Linked DNA regions of Drosophila melanogaster. The protein of the gene in region 2 interacts with the protein of the main gene of each other region in a pairwise test. Each region holds a gene or a part of one and is shown on either strand. Other genes may lie near its edges.

Region 1 (5,360 bases), on a different chromosome or scaffold from region 2:
AATATGTACATACATGATTTTGTACATTTGTGTATAAAACATATTCAAGTACCTTTTATATTATGAAATATATGTGATACTAAAATATCTCGTTTTACCTTTTCAGTAATGTCTTTATTTACAATGGTAAGAGAACATTTCTTTCTTTTATTTAATCAAAGACTGTGAAAATTGTGAAAATTCCAAGTACTGTTTAAATCTTTAATTCGACTTTGCTACATTGTATTGAAGGCCGACTTGAAACTTGAGGCCCAATCCGACGTTTAAAGTTTCATGTAACATTGTATCTCGACTGCGACTACGTTGAAGATTGGTGGTGACCGTCCTCGTTGTATTCCTTGTTGACCTTAAGGGAATGATTAATAACGCTCGAGCCGCCTGGAGGATAGTTCGGGGCAGGCCCTGATCCCGGGCCGCTGGCAGGCTGCTGTGCCTGAGGCTGATTGGGGATCGCATTTGGGTTGTTAACTGGATTCTGTCCGGGAGCCCCCTGCGGTGGATAGCCGCCTGGATATCCGGACGGGTCGGGTGGATACATTGATGGTGGCGGAGCTTGTTGCGGGTGTGGCGGTGGTGGTGGTGGTGGGGGCATGTACAGATTGTAGGGATATGAAGGATAGCCTCCCATTTGAGGATACGGAGGATACGGCATGTACGGATTGTAGAGATATGAAGGATAGCCTCCCATTTCTTGATACGGAGGATAGCCCGGATTAGGATATGCAGGATAATTGTACTTGTGCTCCGTCTTGGAGTGCTTGTGCTTCTTCTCTCCACTGCTGCTGCTGCTGCTGTCGCTGCTATCGCTGTCCGTCCTAACCACTTCGTACTGAAGTAGCAGTACCAGAAGGACTCCAATCGCCGCACAGCTCTTCATTTCTCCGTTTAAACGCACGACGTTCGTTTGATCTAAGCTCACGGGTATGACTAAATCTTGCTCACACAATACCTTGTCCCGTTCCCGTTCCGACAATTCAAATAGCCAGCGCGTGCGTTGATTTTGATAAGTCGACAAAAACATACAGATGCGACAAGGTTGCGGCAGGGCCCACTCAACTAATTCCCTGTAAGAGTTTAGGATTGAAAAACAATTTCATTCGGAAATGAACAATACTTCGCCCATAGATTATAAATAGAGAATACAATGGGTTAATAATTTATGTGATGTAATGTCTCATACTTATTAATTAGTTATTGTGTGTCGGAACAACCGCATTTCCTCCAGATTTTGTTATATATTGCAAAGAGAGGCTGTGTGCTTATCAATTTGACGCAAATTAAGCGAAACAATTCTTTTGAATAATCTTAATAGAAGACTGCGACGCTTTTATTATTTAGACAACTAAACTTTTAAATAGAGCGGCAATTAAAATTAGATACTAAAAGGTAATAAATGGGTTTTACATATACAAATTGGATTAGCAAGATAAACTTTCTTTTGTGTAAACTGTTTTATCAACTTCTTAAGTTAATAAACCGGATGCTGCTGATAAATAAAATCAAAACAGACTGTGCGTTGATTATAAATACTTTTTAAAGATAACGTTTTGGGAAATACCCTATGTACTACTTTTCCATTGTCGCCATTGTATGAAATATATTAGGTAATCGTTTGGTACTGCCTGAAATTGACGAGGGTTGTCCAAAGAGTAGTTTGTGATTTCTTATACCTTTTTATTCGAAAAATACGTATAGCTTAATGAACTATAAAATTGATAGCATTATTAGTTATCTCCGTTTTTGCTGGCAGCTGCCGAAGCCTTCAGACGATTCTCCTTGACCAGCTTGCGCCATTCCAGCCATTTGGCCAGTTCGGGTTGCTCGCTGCCGCCGCCTTGCTGTTCCAGCTGCATGTAGTAGGCTTCGCGCAGAATTTTGAAGGCCTGGATGCTGTAGTATGGCTGCTGTGTGATCGGGTCAAAGTAACGGGCTGGCAGCCTGGTGATTGGACAGATGCCATTGCTGGCTTTGGGAGGCGCCTTGTGGCGGAAGAGGCTTTGAAACACCTTGTCATTGAAATCGTTCTCGATTGTAACGAATGTGCGTTCGCACTTCCCAGCAAGATCCTTTGAATCGACCGCAGGGTTTGCTCCGCGAGTGGGCTTTCGCATCGCTGGCATGGTTAGTGAGTGGTAGCGTATCGTGGGTCCGGAGAACGTGCGCTTGGTGGGACGTGATTTCTTCTTCTCCAGCTCCATTTTCTGGAATTTCTCTGTGAATGCAACAGCAAATTGTAAAATAGCTGCTTCCTTGGTTGCTTTAGATACCCACCCAAAGATTTAGTGTTTTCTTCCTCGGTTATTTTGGCCTCCTCCAGCAGCTCCTCCTGCGTGGGCATGTAGTCCTCCACGCGCACCTTCTTCTTTTTGCGCTTGCGGGCATCGTCCAACTCTTTGAGGCGTATTTTGGTAGCCTGTGTCTTGATGGCCGTGGAAGTGCGTATGGATTTGCGGCCGGAATCGAGGACCGTGAAGCGTGGACGTGGCCGCCGTTTCGTTACCCCACCACCAGGTCGTTTCTTGTGCAGGGCCGGCGTTGCCTTTGTTTCCTTTTTGACTGCAGGCTTGGTTTCCTGCGGAAATCATATGTACCATTTAAACACATTCAGTAATCACAGGATTTTATCGCATTTTAAGAATGGTTCGCACCTTATAAGCCTTTGTGTTAACGACACCGCGTTTCCGCTTTTTCTCGGGCGCCTCTTCCTGATCCGAAACGGGCTCGTCGTTCTCATCGATACTGAAGTCGGAGTCAACCACATCTTCCTCTTCGTCTTTTTGCCTGCAGAGTGAATTTTATATGGCTTGAGCATTTAAATTTATTCAAATGATTAGTGCTCACTCGTATTCCTTATCCTCTTCGTCCTCCTGAAATCCACCATAGGACGTTTTGTAAAAGTCGTCCTCCTCTTCCTCATTGAGCAAATGAGCTATTTTGTTGCCGGCATTGTTGCGCCGTGATCGCGAGGCAGCCATTTTTGTTATTTATATATAGAAACTATGATTTAAAGCAGCTATTAAATAATAATATTTTACAATTTGTAAATGTAAACAAGCAGAGCAGTGTGACCAATGTAGCAAACATAGTATATATCGCAGAGGCTTTACAACTTTGGTATGCGTTTCAGCCCTGGTAAAGAAAATGGTTTCTCCTGCATTGGCAGTTATTCAAACACATTTAAAACATAGCTAAATTTATTTATTTATCTATTACATGTATCACAACAAAAAGCAGGCAGCTGCTTTAAAATCACATTAAAAAGCGGTCGGTAATTCAACTACCGAAAGTAGACCACATTACTTTACACTTGCGCTGGCCACACTCTTGGCTTGTTGCTTTTTATTCTGCCGGCTGCCTGCATTTTCTGATTTAATTTAATACCATCGATAAAAAGACTGCTCGCAACATGTCGGAACAATGGGAGGTGGTCTCCAAGTCGCGCAAGCAAAAGAATCTGGACAAGAAGGTGTCTGCACACAACGAGCAGAAGCGCATCGCGGCCCAGTTGCCCAAACTGGAGGAGCTGTGTAAGAATCTTTTAAAAGGTGCACCTTGCAATGCGATTACATGTTTGCCCCTGCCATTTTATTCACTTCGCAGTGCCAACTCAGCGGTATCGCAATTTGTTCGGCAGCAGCAACAACAACAACAGCAAGTCCCATTCCCCTGCGAAATCTAGTTCAAGTGCCTCATCTTCCTCAAAAGCCAATAAGTCGCCAGTTAAAAAGCACACCGCAAAGAATGCCTCTACCCAAAAAAGGACCACGTCGGCAGCCGCATCGAAGCCAAAGACTCTGGAGCTGGCCTTGAGAAACATCACCCGGGATGATTTTGCTGCCCAACTGGAGCAGGTGAAGCTCAGTTGTCCTGGCTCCGAGCTGCGCTGGTTAAGCCATGTATGTTTCTAAAGGAAATGTGCCTAAATATTTGCTCACCTATCGTTGTCCCCCAGATTGCGCTATACTTCAATGAAGCCTTGTCCTATGACTGCGATCCCATCTTCTCCGGCCGCTCGGCTCAGTATCCCAGCAATTTGGCCAGCGCCTCGCTCAAGTACTCAATTGTGGAGTTTCTGGGCAGTGTGGGCGAACAAAACCTGGAGTATTTCTTCTACTCCCTGCTGGATAGCATGTCAACGGATCTAAACAACAATCAGACAGTGGCAGGCTACAAGCTCATCCTACAGTTGATCGGTCAAAACTGGCCGAACATTTGTTCTAGGAACCTGGCCAAGACTGCGTTGCTAAGGAACTCCTATCAGAACCGTAGCAACATCTGCCTGAGCATCCTGTGGGCAATTGGACAAGGTGGCTATCAGTCCCTAAACGAGGGCGTTCGCGTGTGGCAGAACCTGATGCTGCCCAACCTGGAGCTAAAGCAGTACACCAAGTTTGTGGTCGAGTATATGGAGCGGGCTCTGAGTGCAGCAGCTGTCCGGAAGACAGCGGATCCTCTGCAGATCAACCAGCAGGAGTTCTTTGCCACTTACAATGCGCTCAATGCACCCTATAACCACCTGCCCAAGGAATGGCAGCAAAGTCTGAAGCGTAGTGCGCGTTTGTTGCTTGTAAGGACGAAAACAATTGATAGTTGTCCCATTGTTTCACTGACCTTTCTTCCTCCTGTGTGTAGCAACACTATATCAACAGTCCTGTGAGGCATGCCAACATATTCCTTACGCTCTTCCGGGAAATAAGCGCCGGATCCAAGCAGACTAATGAGATCGAAGGCTGTATTAGTTGTCTGCTCAGCAGCGGCAGAGATGATTGCCTCAGGGTGTGGCGCATGAACTACAAGAAGCAACAGTTGCCTAGTCTACTGCTTCTGAAAGCTATAAGTACGATCTACAGCTGTGAAAATTCATTTAATTGGATTTTTGTTTAAAAGTACCACCCACACTTAACGTTAATGTGTTATCTAATATTGAATTTCTATCTTTTCCTAGACGACAATTGGACCACGTCTACCCATGAGTTGGCTACGTCGACTGTGTATCACTCTTTTCTGCAAGATGTGGCGAATCTGAACGAAGAACTGCAGGGAAGCAAGAGAAACGAAGGTCACCTAGATGATTTAAAGGAGGTTTTGTTGGTGAGTGCGACTTAAGTATATCACTCGATTCCAAGCATAAGGCTCTGATCCCAGATCGATAAAAGGTGAATGTTGAATGTGTGTTGTTTTATCTTTTATAGTTTTATTGGAAAACTAGTATATAGGTAATATATTTATTTTGTTAGCTTTTTTAACCCAAACTTATTATTCAAACTTAAATGAAATCAGAAACACTATAAATTTGAATTTTCTCACACCTCTGGTAACACTGTTTAAGTTAAGTGGTCTGGCTTAGTACATTACGTACT
Region 2 (6,147 bases):
TAATTTCGCTTTCGCATTCACACTAGCTGAGTAACGGGTTCCTGATAGTCGGGGAATTCGGCTATAGCATTCTATCTTTTTTCATATATGTATATGGGTATATATGGATATTCTAATACCTTGCCGTGCATTAGCGAGTATGTAAAAGCGAGAGTAAACGCATGACGTTTAAACGAAAGAGAGTGAGTGTCAGAAAGGGTTTTATCTATTCTTCTTTTATATTATTCCTTTCCCCTCTGACATGCGTGTTATATTCATTTCTTGGTAAAAGTGTAAACGCAGACGCAACTTTTGCAACAGACAACTGCGTAAATATGTATTTTTTGCTGTACGTACATACGTATATGATTAAAAATTCAAATTCAAAATACTGCGTGTGCGACGGTGAGTACACTTTTACATAGGCATATGTACATATATGCTGTATATTCATAAAATATTTTATTTTTGAAATTACCATTTGAACTGCATCGCTTGCATATTTATACCCGTTGCTCGTAGAGTAAAAGGGTATACTAGATTCGTTAAAAAGTATGTAACAGGTAGAAGGATGACATTCCGACCATATAAGGTATATATATTCTTTATCAGGATCAATAGACGAGTCGATCTGGCCCTGTCCGTCCGTCTGCCTGTCCATATTAACGTCTAGATCTTAGGGATTATAAAAGCAATAAGGTTGAGATTAAATATACAGTTTCTAGAGACATAGACGCAGTGCGAGCTTGTTGCCACGGTCACTCTAACGTCCACAAACCGCCCAAAACTGCCACGCCCACAGTTTTGAAAAATATATTTTTATTTTTTGATTTCTCCCCATAACGGTCGCGACCATGCCTTTGAACAATTTAAAATTTTTCTTTTTTTATTTCCCAATGCCAAAAACTGTTGAAATTTTCCGTTCGCTTTTCCCCTAGCTGACTGATTTGTAGTTGATAGGATCCACCGACACCGGGACATTTGCACCACTCTATAATAAATATTAACCCGTGTATTAACCCATATGACAAATTTAATATCATCGCATATGTAATGCATATGCAAAATATATTTTTTATATTTTTTATATATTATATTACAAACACACTTTCAACAAAATATTTTAATTAATAAATAAAAGATTAAATGATGTAGATGTAGAAACTTGACCCTATAAGCATATATAAGCGCAGGATCACTTAAAAGGTCCGATTGTCCGTATTAACACCGATATCTCGGAAACTGTAAAAGATAAAAGAGAAAGAAGAATGCAGCGCATGCATGCATGTACGCATCGATCAAAAGTTATAATAGGGTACCAGATTCGATGAAAAAAAACCCTAAAAGTATATATATATTCTTGACCAGGATAACTAGATTCGATCCGTATGAATCCGTCTGTCCGTATGAACGCCTCGATTATTAAACATTCAGATTCCAGATACATTCCAGAGACGTATCATAAATACGCCCACTCTAATGCCCAAAACTGCCATGCACAAACTTTTCGATTTATTTTGTCTTTCTGATCGATTCTATCGATAGTCCTAAAAATGTTGAACTTTCTCGTTTGCACTCTTAAGCTTAAAAAATTCTTCATAAAAAAAATTTTCAATTATTTTTTAATGATTCGAGTGGTTTGTTCAACGAAGAAACATTTTAACATGCATTTTTTGACTATTCCGGTGGAATAGTACGCATGTACGCATGATATTTTACAAATATTGTACAATATTTACGCAAGACATGTCGCGGAAGTATAAACATTCTCTTTTGGTCCAGAAAAATGTTAAAAAGAACTCAAGGTTTCATAATTCATAACGGACGTGCCTGATCGGCTCTGCTAGTGATCCTAAATACATATGTAAGTAAGCATATTCAAGATCATCTCGGGTCGCATACATTCTACTATAGCGAACATAAAAAATATTACACACATAATATTGGGAAAAGCTTAATCGGTTTGCACATTCAAAAAATTTTATTTAATGACAATGTGATACGAATAATATTATACATATATTTTTGTATTTATAGATATTTTTGATATCTCCGAATACAAATATTGAGTAGTTATTGGGAAAACAAAGGATCTACTTTTAAATGTTGAGTCCACGATGCTTGCCTGTAGGTATTTCGGTTCAAAAGAGACATTGTGATAGTTTTGTACCAGTTTAATTACTATAATATTTCTGATCATTCTGCAGACAATGGGATGTGGAACTTGCCGTGTTGGATCTTTTAACATCCGTCGGCAGTAATACAAAAATAATGAAAGATGATTGCCCAAGCTGCACCCACACAAAACAAAGGCACACACACATGCATAACAACAGGCAGAAATTAAATAAGGAAAAGAGAGGCTCGCTGTGAAAGCATAAAGCACATTGGTACACCGTTTTATCACATCATCTCCCGTCTCGCTCTAACGTAATTACCACTCTGCGTGGCAATAATTACCCCATTACGGAAATCTCCCAAAGTCTCTCAGTGTCTCTCTTGAATGTTGATTTGTACGCATGACTCGATTCTGTTCGGCTCGGTCGGACTTTCGGAGAATAAAGAAGAGGAGAGCAGAGCTCGAGAGCCCCGGAGAGCATTAACCAGCAAGTAAACAAGTAAGCCTGCCTCTCAGCTCAGTCGAAAAAAAACGTTGAATGAGTCAGATGCGGGTCGGATGGTGAGTTTTAGAGCTCTCAAAGATGCGGTTTCGCTGTAGATCTTCATTATGATATATTTGCCGTTGGCGTGACTGTGAGACTAAATGTGACTGTGACTATTCGCTGGTTAAATGCGCTAAAACATAAAAAGTGACATAGTAAAAAACAACCAAAGAGTGAAACTAACTGCAATCTGAAATGTGTTACCTCTGTAATCAATCATTCACTGCTAGCCCAATCCCAATTCTGCGAATAGTGATATCTATGTAAAGTTCGATATGGGTGCGCGTTGTTATACGGCGTCTACTTGAGTTTTATATTTACTTTTTACTTTTGCGTTGTGTCGAACAGAGTATCACAAAAAAAACCTATAATGGCAAGAATGAAGAACACCGTGAACCTTTCGACCAGTTTCAAAAAAATGCATTGCGAGATCAGCCCAACTTCCTGCCCATACCTGCAAATGGATACATTCGATTAGAGTAAATAACAACCATGCCGGAACAATTCTGCGGCACTTCTTCGTAAAATATTCAGTTCGCTTCTGCTACATGTTTAAATCAGTCGGAAATATGGGTGCATGCTAACGGTGCAGTTCCGAGCAGAAAACAATACACTCACCCTTATCCTTATGTGTGAGGTGCATTGGTATTGGAGTTCTGGTCCCTAGCAACAAAAACTTCAATCCGTAGACAAAAGCAGAGTTTCATTCCACTTCCAATGAGGACAATCCTGCACTATTTTGTTTGATGTATCGAAGCTATCGAAAACGGATTCCGTCCGGGAATAGTTTTTTATTTTTAATTGCATTATGTGCCAAACGATCCCAGCCGAGTAAAGCCGAGCTGCCTTGAGCTGAGAGCAACGAGGGTGTGCGAACGGAAGTCGCAGGAAGGAAAGAAGCTGAAAAGAGCACACCACAGGCACAGGAAAGGGTGCTGTGCCGCGCTAGTCGGTTGTTGGATGTTCTCTATGAATTGCCTTCAGCGATTTAATGAGCACGTGGTCCACGAGAGAAGTATATGCAAAAACGCTGTGTGTCTATTTCTGTCTCTGTCTTGGTCTTGATAGCTCTCCCCTCTTCGTCGCGGTGTCTGCACTGGGGTGGGCGGATGGCAAGTGATGGGAGGGAAAGGAAGCAGAACTTCCCACTTGTGATTGTGCTTGTGACTGTGCGTGTGTGAAAATGTGTGTATAAAAAAGAGACAACTGTCTCGCTTGCGATATAAGCAGCCAACTAGGAGTAAAAGTGTTTATATTAAAATGCAAAATCCCAAGAAGTTGGCAAATTAAATCAAGGGGCGTAACGCGCGCGAACACACTCTCCTTGCACTCATCCAATTCGCTCGATTTGCTCTCTTGAAATTTGCACACATTGCAGATATAATTACAAGTGTAAGAAAAAAAGACATTTAACATAGTTTTCAGCACCCGTTCGTTCTATATAAAAAAAAGATTTTGTGTGAAAGTTAATGTCTTTTCAAGCCATTGTGAATTTCTTTTATTTGGTCTTTAGTACAATCATTCTTTCAAAAAACTGGAGCCATATATGTATGTACAGTGATAAAGTGGTAAAGTCCTTGGCAAAACTACTTTTGTGTTGCCAACTGACTGCTGTGGGTCGATCACCTTTCGACTGTCACCTGCCACTGGTCACGGCAATTTCACCCGCATACACCTGTATACATATGTACATAAACTGGCACATCAGGGTTTTTACTTAATTGGGTTCTTTTTAAGCCTTGCTGTTGCCTGCCGGCTTCTCCCTAACATCCTGTCTATTGACCACCTGTCTCAAGTTGATGGCTTCACATAAATGCAAAATCAAAACCGCAAACCCTATTGAGAGAGACCGTATTTGAGGGTCAGTAAAATATGTAACCAATAATTTATATATAAAATATACCAATGTCTGAAGAACTTTGCACAATTCGAATGTATAACACTAACTTGTAATAGCTAAATATTTCAGGTGAAAATAATAATAAAATTGTTCACAAAATTACTCTTTAGGTGCCGCAGGCTAATTATCTCGCCCAAATCCACGAGCGCTCGATTCAAAAGTTCCTATAATATTTAAGCCTAAAGTTAAACATAACATAGTACAAACTATCGCCGCTAACTTAAAGTAATTCACGATTGAACTAGCTAATAACCCAACTTACTCCAAGTCTAAACGCTCGCAAACATACATAAGTGCAAAAACAAAAACAGCAAGGAGAAATCGAACGCCCTTATTTGAAGGATCTTCATTTCAATCGTCGAATGGCTTAAGGATTCAACTTTTCATAAGGACCTCAAGTGAGTACAATATTAGATTTGGTAAGGGTATGTTGTCTAGTTGTATGCGCAAAATTGGTCCTTTGTATACAAATAATCATATCATAGCCTCCAGAAGATATGGATAAAAAATATGTCTCGATAGTATTTTATTTTCAAGTACAAACCAGTTACGAATCTTATTTTATATATGAATAAAACAAGAACGTATTCATTATTCGTGTATATCGACTATATATACCCTCATAGCCGTCTATAAGACATCATTACCTCAGTTATACAATCAGCAATACCTCATAACACAATGAATTTTCGGTTACACCTTTCATGTTGAGTCCCAAATACTATAGATCAACAATGACGGTTAATGAGAAAATATATATATTGTTTCCATTTTATTTCTATGACATTTTTTTTATTAATGAGTCCGATTCGTTTCGACATATTTACGTATATACTAAATACAATAGAAAGAATATTTTCGGGAAAAGTTAATGCTTTAATAGCTTATAGCCTTAAATCTGAGAGAGTATTTGGCGTAGGAACAAGCAGGCAAACTGACTATATAAGCTCGGCTGTTTTTGCTGATCAAGAATATACCTTCACTACATTGCATACTTCTGAGAAAAATTGCATATAGTGTAGGCAATAAGAACGCCTATATGTAAGTTAAATATCATTAAATAAGTTCGTATTTAACAGCAAAGGCTGCAAATTAAGAACGAACAAGTATTTGCAAACATTATTGTCTGCGGAATTAGTGTTTCGTATAAGCGCACCAAATAATAGCTATTGGTTCATCATGTCAAGTCACCCATTGGAACATTTTAATTACTTAAAGACTTCTAATTAGCCAATGACGATGAAGCTCTCACAGAGAGGTGGAAGGGGATTACTAGTCCCTTGTGCTTTGAGTCTTGAGAGTTGGTTCAACGAACGAATTGAACTTTACCGAAATAAGCTGAGCCGAACAGAAAAATAACAATGCCGAGCAGAGAACTAAAATCATCCAGTAATTAAGCACATAACAGACAAAAGCAATGATGACGAGAGCAAAGCCCTCATACTGAGAGCTTAGGGCTTCGCTCTTTAGCTGTTAAATCTCTGATGTTGCCAGTGCAGAAACAGTGGAAACATGGCAGAAACAGCGGAAACGGAATCAAAAGAAGAGTAAAGCAACTGAATGCGACAACCGCCTAAGCGCGACTTGATTGGTCGGTTGTCGCTA
Region 3 (6,128 bases), on a different chromosome or scaffold from region 2:
ACTCTCCATAATTCAATTGAAATTTTAATCCCCCAGGAATTCAAGCTTAAGAATCAATTTCAATATTGGGTATATTTTTTTGACTCTCCTTTAAATTTATCAATTTAATACAGCTTATTGCAAGGAAAAGAGATAAGCTTGGTAGCTATTTTCTTTGTAAAACAAAATGGATTAGCTTACTTCAAAAGCCCTTGAACTAAGCTTATTTTCAGGGCCATAATCCCTGGCCGATTTCAATTAAACTTTGCTGTAAAATACCAATCAACTAGCAACTTTTGCGACCACCCTCTTAGTAAGTTGGACTTGGCTAATACTTGAAATTGTCTGCTAATTCGTAATTATTGCTACTTTACCATGTTGCTCCTGCGTTGACTGAATTGGCTGCCCTTTCTTGGGCAATTAGGACGAGGCGCTGGCTGGCAATGCCAAGTGTCCCCTGGTCGAGTGGCTTTCACTGGAGGTTCCGGATTCCCAGCATACGTGTCCATCAATAATGCGTCCTGGCTGCTGGCTCCTGGCTCGCATCGCCGCAGCCATGCCTTCCATTCGTCAATTGGCCATCCATCAGTTCTAATTAATCATGGCTCGGGCCTAATGAGTTGCTCTCAAATATGCTGGGAATGAATAGATGCCACTATTTCGGACGCTCCGCTAATGGAAATGGGTCTTAACTCGTGCTATACAATTGTCGCCGTTCCGATAGCCTTGTTGCAGTGTTCACAATGCAATGTCCGCAATACGCAATTTCAATTTCACGAGAACCAGCAACTGCGCACAAATCCAGCGGTGATTCTCATGCACATGGAAAATATACGAATCCTTAGTTAATTCTTGGAAAGCAGTTTGATAAATTAATTACTTTCAAAGGAACATCGTTAATTAATAATTTTCGTTATATCAGCATCGAATAGGAGGGGCACACACTTTAACTTTTTATTAGTGACATCAAAATATTATATTGATGAAGAGATGCTGTTCGAAACCTAATTATGTATGTTATATATATTCAAAAAATACATTTGGTTACCATTTTAGTAACTTTTTCTCAGCGTGTAATAGAGGATATAGCTGTGGCTATGGCGTTGTCAGTGGGACTGACCTAGAGTCCGTCAACAACTTGAGCTGCCTTGGCGAACGTGTTGACATCTTTGTTTTGGCCCGCTCATAATTCGCATTTTTTCGGTTTGTTTTTGTTTTGACTGCGGCTGCGGCTTTGTTTTAGCTCGCTATTTTTTCCGAAAATATATTAACGGCTAACCCGATTCATCAGCCTATTGACAAGATGTCATGTGGGACAAGCAAATGACCGAACAAAAGACCGAATGTCTGGCGAGGATGGCTAAATGCAGACCAATCATACTGCATGTGATGACGGAGAGGAATTTGGTATTTATAGAATAATAAGCGAAAAATAAGTAATATTAAAGAACTAAATGATTTAAGACAACATAGTAACAAATGTTGATCTTCTTAGGCATATTATTAATATATATTACGTAAACAAGTGCTTAGAAACAGAACTTAATAAATTAAGATGAAATAAATATTAATAATTCAATGACAAATCTTAAGCGTATATATTTTATTATGATGTCTAGAGTAAAAAACCTACCTATCTCTAAATCATTTGTCTTTCTGTTAACACTTTTAATTATGCTGAATTCTATAACTACATAAAACTCGCGCGATATTTGCTAAGACATCAATTTCCTTATTCTATATAAGTATCAATATTTCTATAAATATTTAAAAAAATTCGAAAATGAATCATTCTGCCAGATAAATGCGTGGGCGTCGATCTTTTCCTCAGCTTTTCTTTCCGCTGGACTAAAGAAAAGTGAAAATCTCACTCTAATAACTGCGAAATAAGCCAGAACAATAACAGGTAAGAATACGTATTGAACAATATATTGTCGCTCTTGGACTTTCTGCGCGACATTGTAAAAAGCGAGAGGAATTCTTACAGACAATTATGGTACATATATTATATTATATGTATATATGTATATAATTCTTGCACAGGTTCGTTGGGGTCGGGTGAAGCTGGGAAACAACAAAAGTGCTACGTGAAAGTGGGAAGAAGACGCAGAAATATTTGTGGCACTTTTGTTGTTGCCTCAGGTTATATTTATAAAATTTCACCTCAAGAACGGCTGATCATCAAGCGTTCGAGAGTCGAGCAGAGAAAAACATTCATTTTCATTTCTGGCACGCTCGCGAGTGGACGTGCGGACCGATACGCCGATAATAGCTATAGCCCAGTTCGATTCCCAACCACCTATATCCATATATATATATCTATTAAGTGTATATAGAGGGGTGCAAAGATCTACCCAAAGATCTTTCACCTGTCGCGCAGTGCGTGAGGGTGCGTCCAAAAGCACCAGTAATCGCGACGCGAGTGTTGGTTTGAGCCAAGGCGGTAATACATCGTACCTCAGTTTGAAAGTGAAGTCAGTGAAAGTCCTTGTGCCGCCAAGGCATGCGAATAAATTTGCAAAAGTTTCGCGAAGCATCAGGAAATAGAGGAAGCCAACGCAAGTGAGTCGAACGGGGTGGATACGTCCTGATTTTAAGCTCGTTTTTGGAAACGCATTCAAATGGAGATGAGCTCGACGCATTCAATGGCTGCTGATTATGTAAAAAAAAGAAGAGAGAAAACGGCGAAAGGCGTGAGAATCTCGGCGAGAGAAGGAGCTTGGGAAAATGTCACCTGGCTGAAAATTGCGCTTTCTCAACATCCCACCGTGTGCACACTCCCACATTCGTGAAAAGCTGTCAAAATTATTTTCATCTCCTTCGGCTTCGCGTTCAAAATTTATTAACAAATTTTGACATAATCATGTATACAAATATATGTTGATGAGGATCTGTTATACGCTATATTACGTGTGTGTGTGTGTGTGTGTGTGTGTGCATATCTCATCAGAAAGCATGGCAATAATTTGCCCACACTCACACACACAGGCACGCACACAGAGACGCACATTGCTCATACGCCGTGTTGCTGCCTTATTTTTAGTTCGATTCAATCAGCGACATTTTCAGAGATTTTCTATTTCCATTTCTGTTGTTTGTGTTTGTCTTTTGCCCGCTGCTCGCTTATCATTGATTGCTTTGTTTGCTTTTGTTTCGGTTTCGGTTTTGCTTTTGCTTGTTCCTTCTCCCATTCTCGCCATCCATTTGGAATGTTTGTGGTGGGCTTTCTCGTATTTATTTTTATATTCACACCTCTCACACAAAACAATTAATTTCTCGTTTCGAAATATAAAAATAAAAATAATACGGAAGATTAAGTGAGAGAGGCGTGTGCGGTTTAAATTTATGTGCCGCCGGAAAGTAGGCAACAGTTTTTTCCAGTTTTCCTTTTAGCTTTATTGCGAGCACTCGCCTCTTTTCAATTCACTTCATCTGCCCTCCAACCCCATCCCTCCTCCGCTCTTTTCGAGTGTGCTTCAGCTGGGCGGAAGTTCAAGGTCGCTGGCAGCATTAAAGAAGTGCCATTGCAGCACGCTGGCAATAGATATCCACCTAAACTAGTTTTGATTCGAATTTACTGGCCACTTTTGCAACTTAAATTAAAAACTGCTCGAAAGTAGCGCGTTGGCAACTTTAAAGTAAATGTATTGCTTATGATTTCTTAGTGTTGTCTCATTTTCTTTATCCATTCATTTAAAGGTATTTTAAAAACTACATAAAGTTGTACACCTTTTTGTTGAAAAGTTTTTGTTTCAACAGACAAATAGCATTTATATTACCAAAATCTAATATGGAAAAATATTCCAAATGTTTCCGAGCTATTGAAGTTTTTAAGTCACTTGTTTTAAGTCAACTTGTTGGTTGCTGAAATCTGTATTATGTTTAAATATTGCTATATTCAAAAGCTTAGTGATTGCAAATAAAACCAATCTGCAATAATACTAAAAACGAAATCATCATAAAATGTATGAATTGATGTATAATTTTTCATGCCACATTTTACTGTATCATTTTAGTAACGCAATGAAGCTCCGAATTGTGCTCATTAAAGAAAATTAATTATAAGGGATATCAATGCAATTGTGTGAACAATTAATTTCTATTAAATTCCCTTTACGCGTTCGATGCTCAAAAGACCGCCGATGTAATCATGTTATTATAGTTTCGGAAATTGGTTTTCCATTGTTTAATTGTTTCCTTTGGTCGAAAGGAACTCGGCCACGGCAAGTTAATTAAAAAGATCTACCTTCGCAGCCATATGCTCGACCCCAGCTGATTATTCATTAACCTGGTCAAGAGTGTGTGGCCCACCGAGGAGCTTATCTGTCGCAGTGCACAATAAGCGAACCTTAAGCGCATTCCGAACTTCATTATCTTCGACTGTCAACCGCGCCCAATCGAATCCCATTCAATACTATCCAATCCCATCCAATCCCATGCCATCCAATGAATTCCAACTTTCACCACCCGCCTTCATCATTGTTTTGCGTGCCGCAGCCTTTGAGGCCGTATAATTAAGTTGGCATGATGCGGCTTATGCGCAGCGTGTTAATGGCCAGGTAAATGGCTACTCGACCCTCACTCCCCACAATTCACTCACAATTGCCTTTGGCTCTAAATTTAATATATTTTCTTTTTAATTTCAGCCAGCAGAGTTAACAGCCAAAGGAACAGGCCCCTTTCAAGGGCGCCTCGGATACCCAAGTAGACAATAAGAAGAAAACAACACTTGGAAACGTAAGTTATCACCGCTGAAATTGGAACGTCACAATACTTTGTAGTTTCTATAGTATTCCTTTGGGAGTGCAGCTAAAATTTCAAAAAGTTTCGATTGCATCTGCTTCTCCCGTCTGCTCCGTTTATTTATAGCCCAAAAATACAGTGCAGTTTTCATTTCTTTATTTGTTTTTCTTTTTGGCCTAGGAGTGCAGACTGCAGTCTGTGAATTCCGGGCTAGTGAGTTCTATTTTCGGCATATTCCCATAGGGAGATAGAATGATATATACAGAGCTAGAGGAGCGAAGTTCTGACCTTGAGAAGCATGCACAGAAAAAAAAACTGCGAAACTGGATAGAATTATTTTGGTAAAAGTAACAAATGTTTGTGTAGGGAACTTAACCTACTTACTTACCGAATGCAATTATATGTAGTTAATAGATACAGATAGATATTTTGAACATGTTTGAGAAAAAGCTTAATTGTAACTTTTAGGGACAACTTTTTGAATGGAATATGAAATTTTAGTTCGTATTGCAGCAAACTAATGGTTTACTGCTACTTAAGTTAAGGGAAAACTTCTAATGGAAGTAGAAACTTTTCACTTGGCACAGAGAAATGTTCCACTAGTTTGACGGAACAGCGAATTCGAGCGATGTTCGCTCCAATTTTCAATGAAATTTATTTTTAGGGCCCGTTACAGCGAGATACACAAAAGCACACAAATAGCCCAGCAATGAGATATAGATGGAAAATGCCGGCGTGCGTCCGAATGAGAAAATCAGCTCAGTTGATGACGTCAAGAGTGTGCGTGCATGTATTCGTACTAAATGGAGGAAAATCTTTTCGGTTAATCCAATAAGTAGCCGATGTCCAGGTTCGAGGCGAGAAATGGGAACTCCATTTGGAAGTAACATGCAGTGCGAAGTACTCATTTGTATCTTTGTATCTTATTAATGGCGCTGCAGCCAAACTGTAGATAAAGATACATACGCACGATGCCAAGAATATATTTTTGCGTTTGTGTCTGACGATCGCGCATTTTGTTTTGTTTCGCTCTCTGGCGATATATAGACGGTATATATCTGCAGATACACAGCGAAATCGGGAGAGAATGCCGCGGATTGTATATATATTTAAAATATTGTAGACTGTTGCTCAGCTCGTGTGCTTGGCAATTTTCACTTGCCATCAGTCGCTTTTTACATTTCCAATCGAATTCTACTAGGCGTGTTGCCCAGCAAAAACTGAAAAAAAATATAAGAAAAAAATCTAAACGACACCGTACCGAATTAGATATATTGAAATTAAAGTAAGGCGAACGGAAATCGATTGTACTCATTAAATGAAAGTGCCCAAAAACGAGTTGAAAAGGACTGAATTATAAGGATTCTCGCATTGCCAAAACCAATTGCATTTTATGATTGCCTTCG

Evidence for each region.
Region 1: the proteins of zfh2 (region 2) and YL-1 interact in a two-hybrid assay, tested with the Drosophila melanogaster proteins (one large-scale study listed by BioGRID).
Region 3: the proteins of zfh2 (region 2) and tn interact in a two-hybrid assay, tested with the Drosophila melanogaster proteins (one large-scale study listed by BioGRID).

Annotation. Positions count from the first base shown.
Region 1 is NT_033779.5:10,968,169-10,973,528, reverse strand, and holds YL-1 (YL-1), read right to left. Parts: upstream 3,087-5,360; 5' UTR 2,976-3,086; coding exon 2,842-2,975; intron 2,782-2,841; coding exon 2,649-2,781; intron 2,573-2,648; coding exon 2,272-2,572; intron 2,213-2,271; coding exon 1,725-2,212; 3' UTR 1,436-1,724; downstream 1-1,435. Other genes in the region: CG16743 (uncharacterized protein), read right to left, coding at 299-1,021; Tmem214 (transmembrane protein 214), read left to right, coding at 3,407-3,527, 3,601-3,896, 3,953-4,567, 4,633-4,837, 4,946-5,091. UniProt on the Drosophila melanogaster protein: Part of the Tip60 chromatin-remodeling complex which is involved in DNA repair. Upon induction of DNA double-strand breaks, this complex acetylates phosphorylated H2AV in nucleosomes and exchanges it with unmodified H2AV.
Region 2 is NC_004353.4:499,199-505,345, forward strand, and holds the start of zfh2 (Zn finger homeodomain 2), read left to right. Parts: upstream 1-2,611; 5' UTR 2,612-2,659; intron 2,660-4,652; 5' UTR 4,653-4,940; intron 4,941-6,147.
Region 3 is NT_033778.4:18,985,151-18,991,278, forward strand, and holds the start of tn (thin), read left to right. Parts: upstream 1-2,193; 5' UTR 2,194-2,541; intron 2,542-4,233; exon of another isoform or gene 4,234-4,538; intron 4,539-4,625; 5' UTR 4,626-4,716; intron 4,717-5,886; exon of another isoform or gene 5,887-6,128.